Nothobranchius furzeri: one gene and its partner. The protein of the gene in region 1 purifies or fractionates together with the protein of each later gene. This does not show direct contact. Links are inferred from orthologs where the notes say so. Each region holds a gene or a part of one and is shown on either strand. Other genes may lie near its edges. The genes, in order: ccdc117 and stip1.

Region 1 (3,927 bases):
AAAAGCCGTGGAGAAAGGGCTTTCTCTGTCTGTGCACCCAAGCTGTGGAACACATTACCACTGCTAGTGAGGTGAGCACCAACAGCTAGCATTTTTAAATCACGCTTGAAAACTCACTACTTCAACCTAGCTTATACCACATAATTATGAACCTCACAACTACATTGTTTAAAAATGGAATTCACAATATCAACTTCCGTATTATTGAGGTTCTTTTTTAAAATGTTTTTCTAATTTTTTATTCTCCCTGTGTTTTATTGATTTTTAGCTGTTTAGTTTTGTGAATTTTGTTGTATTTCCTTTTTATCTTTTATCTGTGTTCGACATGACTGTATAACGCCGGTTTAATTAACTAACATTTTTAGTGTACAGCGCCTTGTTTGGTTGTAATGCCTTGTTGAATGAGCTTTATAAATAAAATTGGATTGGATTGGATTGGATAAGTACCCCAGACACTGTGAAATGGTTTTTAACATGGATTTCTTACTTACTCATCATCAACTCTCCTGTGCTTCCGGAGCCGCCTTGCCTCCCAGCTGCTGTGAAACAGTGAAGAAATAATAATAATTATTTGACACAGTTAGACGTTTATGGGAAGAATGTTCGTGTAATTTGCAGGGTTTAAAGCATCACCATACTTGTGGGAGTTGACAGATCTCTGTTGATTTTCAGTCATACTCGGATGCCCTAAGTCAAAATCAGGCAGACTGGAGGGACCTGAAAATGAATACATGGTTGGCAGAAACCCCAGTGCAGTCTTTGGGAGAGCAGGGTGATGCATCCAGGCGTTGGTGTGATGGGAGGCACTCAGGCTAATAACTGTAAACGACACTGACCTGTAAGACAAGAAATCATGCAATTAAAACCTGAAAATGCGCATTTCTGCACACGTTGCATACTGGCTCCCACTGACAATCGGCATTTTTATATAGCTAATAATCACCGTGTAAGTCCAATGTTTTAGATATAAGCGCTAAGATAAAACATAAATTAACATATTTACCCTTTGTTCCATTGCACAAGTTAAGCAAAACACTAAGGGTTCAAAGACTGACCTGTTAAACTGCCCTGCCCCCTTTTGCTGTTTGTTGTTTATGTCGATGTTTAGCTAGCTTGCCTCCACAACGGCCTCCTTTTCCACACTCCCGTTAAAAATGCCAAAAACCGGAACATGTACACCAAAAACTCACTAAAACACAAACACAGTGGAGCAGAAAAGGCACCGACTCGGTCCTTATGTGTGGCGTGAACTACTAGAAAGTAGGCCGGACCAACTTAATGCAAAAAAATAAAAAAAATAAAAGATCATGGAAGGCTCGTCAACTTTCCAGAACGTGCGCGTGCTACGTTCAGATGCACAGGTGGATTGTGGGAGAAGTAGTTAAATACGCGGATGCTCCCTACAAGACTCTTTGGTGTAAACCATCGGTGTAAACGTTATTGGAAACACAAAGAAGTTTAATTATGTATAAACATTTTTATCAGAGTTGTACCTTCAATCATTTTTACTTTATTTAAATGTAAAGTTGTCGAATAACGCGAGAATTAAAAATTTAAAGGTAGGCAGAAAGCGTGACCCTTAAGACCCGCCCTCCTCAAACTCTGATTAGTTGCTTTGTCAAGTTTCTTTTCAACAGACCAATAGCCTGCGACAATTTTCTTTTACTACTTCCTGTTTATGTTGAGAGACGCAACTAGTACTTAAAGAGACTCCGATATTTCGTTTCGTCATCTCAAATGACGGGTCATGTGACATCGACATACCTCTTCCTTTTCCCCTTATTTTCTCAAGCAACTCAGATTTTTCCACGCTGCACACTGAGAAGGTAACAAGCTGCCTGTAGTGATTAATGTTGAAAATGTATCGCCCAGATAGTTTTTAATCCGTCTTATTTTTCGTTTTAGGTGACGTAAAATGCTGCCTTTGGTTATAATTATTGGCCTGTTGGCTTTTGTTTCCACCAAACCATGTGGTAAGTAAAAAAAAAAAAAAAAAAAAAAATATATATATATATATATATATATATATATATATATATGTGTGTGTGTGTGTGTGTGTGTGTGTGTGTGTGTGTGTGTGTGTGTGTGTGTGTGTGTGTAAAACATACAATTTCTAGACCTACACATTTTGTTTGACTGCTATGTGTACGATCTTGTGTCTTCATCTATATTCCTTCTGCTAAACGAGCTGTGTAACAGTTAGACTTCTCATGCATGGGATAATAAAGGTTTTATATATATATATATATATATATATATATATATATATATATATATATGTATGTATATATATATACACATATATTTATATATATATATATTTATATAAATGTGTGTGTGTGTGTGTGTGTGTGTGTGTGTGTGTGTGTGTGTGTGTGTGTGTGTGTGTGTGTGTGTTTGTACAGCTCAGAAATTGTGATGCAATAGAACTTTCACAGATTTTGCAATGTGATCTTGATTCCTTGTATTTTGGTTGGTTTGCGACACACATCACCTAGAATGAGTCGCTTTGTCATATTTTAATCTTAAATGCTTAAAAAAGTAAATATGAAAGAAAAACTTGGGAATTATAACACATTCATGTAGATTTTGTTATTTAGTCTGAATTTTTTATATATTTTTTTATTTTGATGATTCAGCTATTGGTGTTTTGCAGTGCTTTAGAAGTCATTGCTGATGTCAGCAACAGAGGAGAGTTGTTTGTGAAACGTCTTTTAATCAAATAACTTTTATTCTTACCTTTTATACATCTTTTATCCAGATACTGATGGATCCAACCAAGAGCTGCTCCTGTCACTCAACAAGAATCTCCTTCGCTCCCTGGCAACACAGGAAGGACTTCCCAATCCCAGTGTCCACTTGGCACTTCGCCTTTCCAGTCACCACAATCTTGCTAAGGAGCGAGATAACCTTAATAGACTGAAAAATGAATTGCACAATAGCATTCAAAGGTATTTCATTCCATTTTGTGAATTAGAAAATGCAGCCTTCTATCAAACTGATTGTCTCACCTCAGCCTGAACTTGTGCCGACTTTCAGCTCACTCACAAACAGCCAGCCTGTGACTGGCATCATGGCTCTGTACAGTCTGGCCTTAAAGTCGTCCTGCTATGACCTCAACACCATCACCTTCACTGTAGGCGACAAGAGTGAGATGCTGCTGACTAACCTAAAGAAGCAGATGGAACAGGAGAAAGAACATATTGCCTGTAAGATTTCATTTCACCTTTTTATGTATTAAAATGTGTTGAATCCCGATTATCACCATGAAACACGAGATCCCCGATCTGTGGAATAACTTATTTTTTGTTTTAGACATTTTGTATTTATTTTCTTCCTGCAGTCAGCCACCGCCCTTTGACCAACTATTACCAGTACAGCCTGGGTGTGCTCGCTCTTTGCGTGAGCGGCATCAGGGTCAACAACCATGTCAGCCACAAGCTCATCAAAGCTGCTGAACACAATAATTTCAAACATGGAGAAGAAGAGAGCGTTGGTGGGTTAATCTCAACTCATGTTGTTAAAATAGTTTTTGGGTGAAATATATGTTGTAGGAACATGCCGTCCAGGATGCCTTTTGATCCTGATAATTAAAGAGAAGCTATAAACATACATTTTTTATGACTTTCCTGGTCTTTGATTTTTCATTTTATTTTGAGAAGACTCGTCCGATGAGTGTTTAATCACTTATCTCTGTCTGTAGACACTCAAGCCATGGCTGGAATGGCCCTCCAGTGTGTGAAGGACTCTGGATTTTATTCACACAACCCAGCTGAGCTTGACACATCTCTTGAGAAGATCAAGCAGAAGCTTCTGGAGTCCCAGAGAACTGATGGTCACATTGGCAATGAGTTCAGTACAGGCCTTGCAGTTCAAGTAAGCAGTTATTTATCTTTTTTTTTTTATACAATCATCTGTTTGTTTTTG
Region 2 (3,839 bases), on another chromosome or scaffold:
CCCTTGTGTGTTTACATAGAAAATTCATAATAGTAAAGAAATAAAACAGTCCTTTGTTGATCTGTAGATCCTCCACCAGAGGGCAGTAGACATGTACAGGACAGATTTGTGATGAAGGCACTAATCTTATTCAGCTGAGGATATTTTAGAGCAGAACTAATGCTGTATCACAAGGCGCCTGGCCTAGCAAGCAGAGATCACTTTTTTCTTTTTTTTATTTCGCACAGGTCAAACAAAGCTGAATTCAAGAAAAAGAAAGAAAGAAAGAAAAGAACAAATTTAGTTTGTTAAAAAGAAATAGCAATAAAAATAAATCATAATAATACAAGGGCCTTACCATATAAGACTTTCCAACTTATATCAAAGTATCCCAAACTAAAATTGTTCGAAAAGGAATAGGAAGAAGCATAGCTTATTTCAATTATCCAGTTGCCTTGACATTGAAAAACACTTCATGACGTTACTAACTTTGATCATGTTTAAAGTGAAAATATATATATATATGTGTATGTTTCTCACAAAAAATACGATTAAGAGCATACTTTTTTCAGTGTGGACACAAAGAGGCTCACACATAAAGAAGTTAAATTAAAATAATTTCAAACTATTTTTCAGACTGTATAACTCAAGAGAATTCAAAACACATTTTGAGCAACTGCGCTCAGAATAAAGAGTCCCTCTTTCTTTGAGAAGTTTCAGTAAGTGAAATATAAATTGCTCGTCTGAAATCTCTCCCTAGGCGGTGCTTACTGATTTTCTAGTCCCTACTGGCAACTTCCACCAGCCGTTCAGGGGGAGGTGCTAGTTCGGACTCCGCAGTAGTTTCTGGAAGGAACCGCATGTGCATCATGGATAAAGTAAGTGACCTGCAAGTTTTTTTTATTCTTGTGTTTTTACCGACTGCTTTCAGCCAATGGAAGAAATGCTGAATTTATCTCCCGATAATAAAATAAAATAGAGTGTTACAGATTGGAAAAAATTGTCTGTACGCTTTTTAATGCAGTGACTTCACAGTGGTTCCTAGCTTGTTAGCTTAGCGTCATTTACACTGTAGCCGTTTGGCTAATAGGCTGAGAGCTTTACGACATTGTTAAACGCAAAACTAATTTTAAACGCTTAAGAATTTGCATCCCTTTACAAGCAGACTGAGTTTTGTCGTTGACGTATAAAAACACACGCACGGTTTAGCTAACTAGCGAGACAAATGACCACATTCATTGACGAGCTGTGAAGCTAACGTGCAACTTTATAAGTCCGTAAACACCGAGACGGTCTTTGCCCACTTTTGTTAATATAACTGTGTACTCAGAAACCAAAATATGGTTTTAACACGCTGTAAGTTATTCTGGTATAAGTGCTTCTAAGTAACGCGAGTTGACAAATCTGTGTACATCTTCCGGTTCTATTTCATGTATACTGTGTTTAAGAAGGTCTTATTATAAAGTCATCGTTATACCATTTTATTTGTATTAGAGTTTTAAATTGGACTAATGTGACATTTTATTTTAAAATATCTGACACGGTTAGTTTGGAATTGCTTTAGCGTCCACCCCAGCCTGAGCGAAGACCGGAGGATCTTTCTAGATGCTCACGGCGCCACTGTCTAGGCGACAGGCCGCAAAGTCGAATTCAAGTGTCGCGAACTGTCGAAGTTTTTTGTTTGTAGACTTCTGGGAATTTCCTCGTGTTTTCACAATTAAGATGACCTTAATTTTTCTTTAGTCATTTTTCTTTCTTGCATGAATCCGACAACACTTCATCCCCTAGGCACCTTCTTTTTATAAAGCAAAATAAAGCATTTTTCTCAACATGATGCAGCGGATGGACTTGGTTAAAGCAGTATAAACAGTCAAAGATTGACTAAAATCTTAGCAAGAGTTTAATTTTCCATAGAGAACCTTTGTGCAAGACTGCTTAAAAAATGCTGGTGAAGGTTCTCAGTCATCCGGGTCATGGTAATCCAAAGAATAAAGACAACTTTATTAGTTTTATTGTTTTTTTTTTTTTAAGTGGGTTGGCTTCTCATGTGAGGAGCTTTGTCAATTTTGTCTGGAATACACACAGTAGAGGCTAATGACATCAGGGGGTAGGGAGGAGGGGTATTCATAGGTAGTTTCTGCGCGTTATGGGCTCGACACACGGGAGGCGACAAACGACGGCGATCAGCGAAATTTGTCGCTGTCGCTTTTATTACCTGACACACGAGAGGCGATCCGCGGCCAGCGGCAAAGCCGTCTACACGTTCTGTTCCATGGCGAAATCGAAACTTCCGTTGTTTTGCTTGGCTGTGTCAGGTTGGAGGGAATTAAGGTTATTTAAGCGGTTCAGAGTTAATAAAGTGGTAGATATGTTTCACAAGGTGCTGCTAGAGTTATGTGAAATCTAACTTCTGATTTTACTATATAAAATAATAATAATAATCAACTTCTCCATGTTTGCTTGGAGGTGTACGGAGCATCCTGTCCGCTCATTGGTCAGTGAATGAAACCTCCGTTGATTGGTCCTCGTCCGAGCGACAGCGATGAAAAGTTGAAAATATTTCAACTTTCTGGGATTGCGTTGCTGGGTCGCAAGTGCACGAGCGCAAAATTTCACACGCACGTTTTTCGCGTTTCGCTTGGTAGGAGCGAGACCCGCGATTATCGCTTTGTCGCGCATGTCTCATTGAAAATGAATGGAGGAGAGGCGATGTCGCCTCCCGCGTGTCGAGCCCATAAGGCAACAATAGACAGCCACAGTTAATAAGCTTGACCCTCCCATATTCCAGTCAGAATTGGCAAAGCTCCTCAGACAAGAAGTGAAACCTCTTCAAGAAGTCAAAGAAGTCCAGTTGCCTTCATTCAAACCCATTTGGACTGCTTAAAAATGTAAATGAGGTCTATCTGTGTTTACACTTAAGTTAATATTAGGGCTGTAGCGAAGCCTCGACTACGTCGACGGCTCGATTCTAAAAATTTGTCGACGTCAGATCCGGAAGTCGACGCACCGCGCCCACTTGTTGCATCCCCAGGAGTTTGTAAATAGAGGAGGAATCTGCCTGTTTTTCCTCTAGTTCGCTCTCTTCTCCGCCTTCACTAACATCTCCGCCAAATACCGAAGACCCGGAACAACGTCCGTCCACTACTAGATTATTTTCCTGTTTTGCCCGCCTTCGTCTCCCGGCAACGGACAACAACTTCCGGGGTCAGATGCGCTGCTTCGTCTCTACCGCAGATGTAGAACATCACCGGGAGCGCTTCTCCCTTCATTAAGGAGCTTCTTTCAGACATTAGGAGAGCTGTTTTGGTGGTAGCAGTCTCTCCTCCGTGCTGGTCTGTTTGCTGCTGGGTGTTTTTGGTTTATTTAAACTTGGTAACTTGAACTTAGCGTTGGTAAAGCTACTGTTAGCATCTTCGCTAACAGCTTCTTGCGTTGGGATAAGCTGTTACGTTTTGGTTTAGAGTTCATCTTTTTTGTGGTGTAGATCTCCCTTTTATTACATTTAGAGTGTTGTGGGTTTTCGGTTTAGTGTAAAATATCACCTTGAGTTTGGTTTAACCCGTAACACCACTCGCCTCACGCACATAAGTGACCAAAACAAAGCAGCATGGAGACACTCCATCTTCTACCACCTCTCAGGCAGCAGCCTGCACTCCCAAGTTCTACATGTCACCAGAACATAACCAACCAACACAATAAAAGCAGCGTTATACAAAATGGAAGGCCTGTAGTGTTTCTTCTCTTACAGTAAGAATTTATCAATTTTTTTGAGGAATTTATTTGAGATTTTCTGGTTTTTGTTAATTGTGCAATAGAAAAATAATCATTACATTAATTTTCTAAATAGTCATTAGAATAGT

Evidence for each region.
Region 2: the proteins of ccdc117 (region 1) and stip1 purify together in Homo sapiens (affinity purification with mass spectrometry; 5 studies listed by BioGRID and IntAct, counting the BioPlex papers as one, with this or other methods). This does not show direct contact. The link is inferred for Nothobranchius furzeri from reciprocal best matches to the Homo sapiens genes CCDC117 and STIP1.

Annotation. Positions count from the first base shown.
Region 1 is NC_091757.1:46,238,419-46,242,345, forward strand, and holds the start of ccdc117 (coiled-coil domain-containing protein 117), read right to left. Parts: upstream 2,762-3,927; 5' UTR 2,751-2,761; coding exon 2,740-2,750; intron 1,974-2,739; coding exon of another isoform or gene 1,916-1,973; exon of another isoform or gene 1,906-1,915; intron 1,827-1,905; exon of another isoform or gene 1,056-1,826; intron 837-1,055; coding exon 639-836; intron 540-638; coding exon 492-539; intron 1-491. Other genes in the region: tcn2 (transcobalamin-2), read left to right, coding at 1,916-1,973, 2,762-2,951, 3,040-3,209, 3,344-3,496, 3,704-3,876. UniProt on the Homo sapiens protein: Facilitates DNA repair, cell cycle progression, and cell proliferation through its interaction with CIAO2B.
Region 2 is NC_091750.1:53,226,014-53,229,852, forward strand, and holds the start of stip1 (stress-induced-phosphoprotein 1), read left to right. Parts: upstream 1-738; 5' UTR 739-839; coding exon 840-857; intron 858-3,839. UniProt on the Homo sapiens protein: Acts as a co-chaperone for HSP90AA1. Mediates the association of the molecular chaperones HSPA8/HSC70 and HSP90.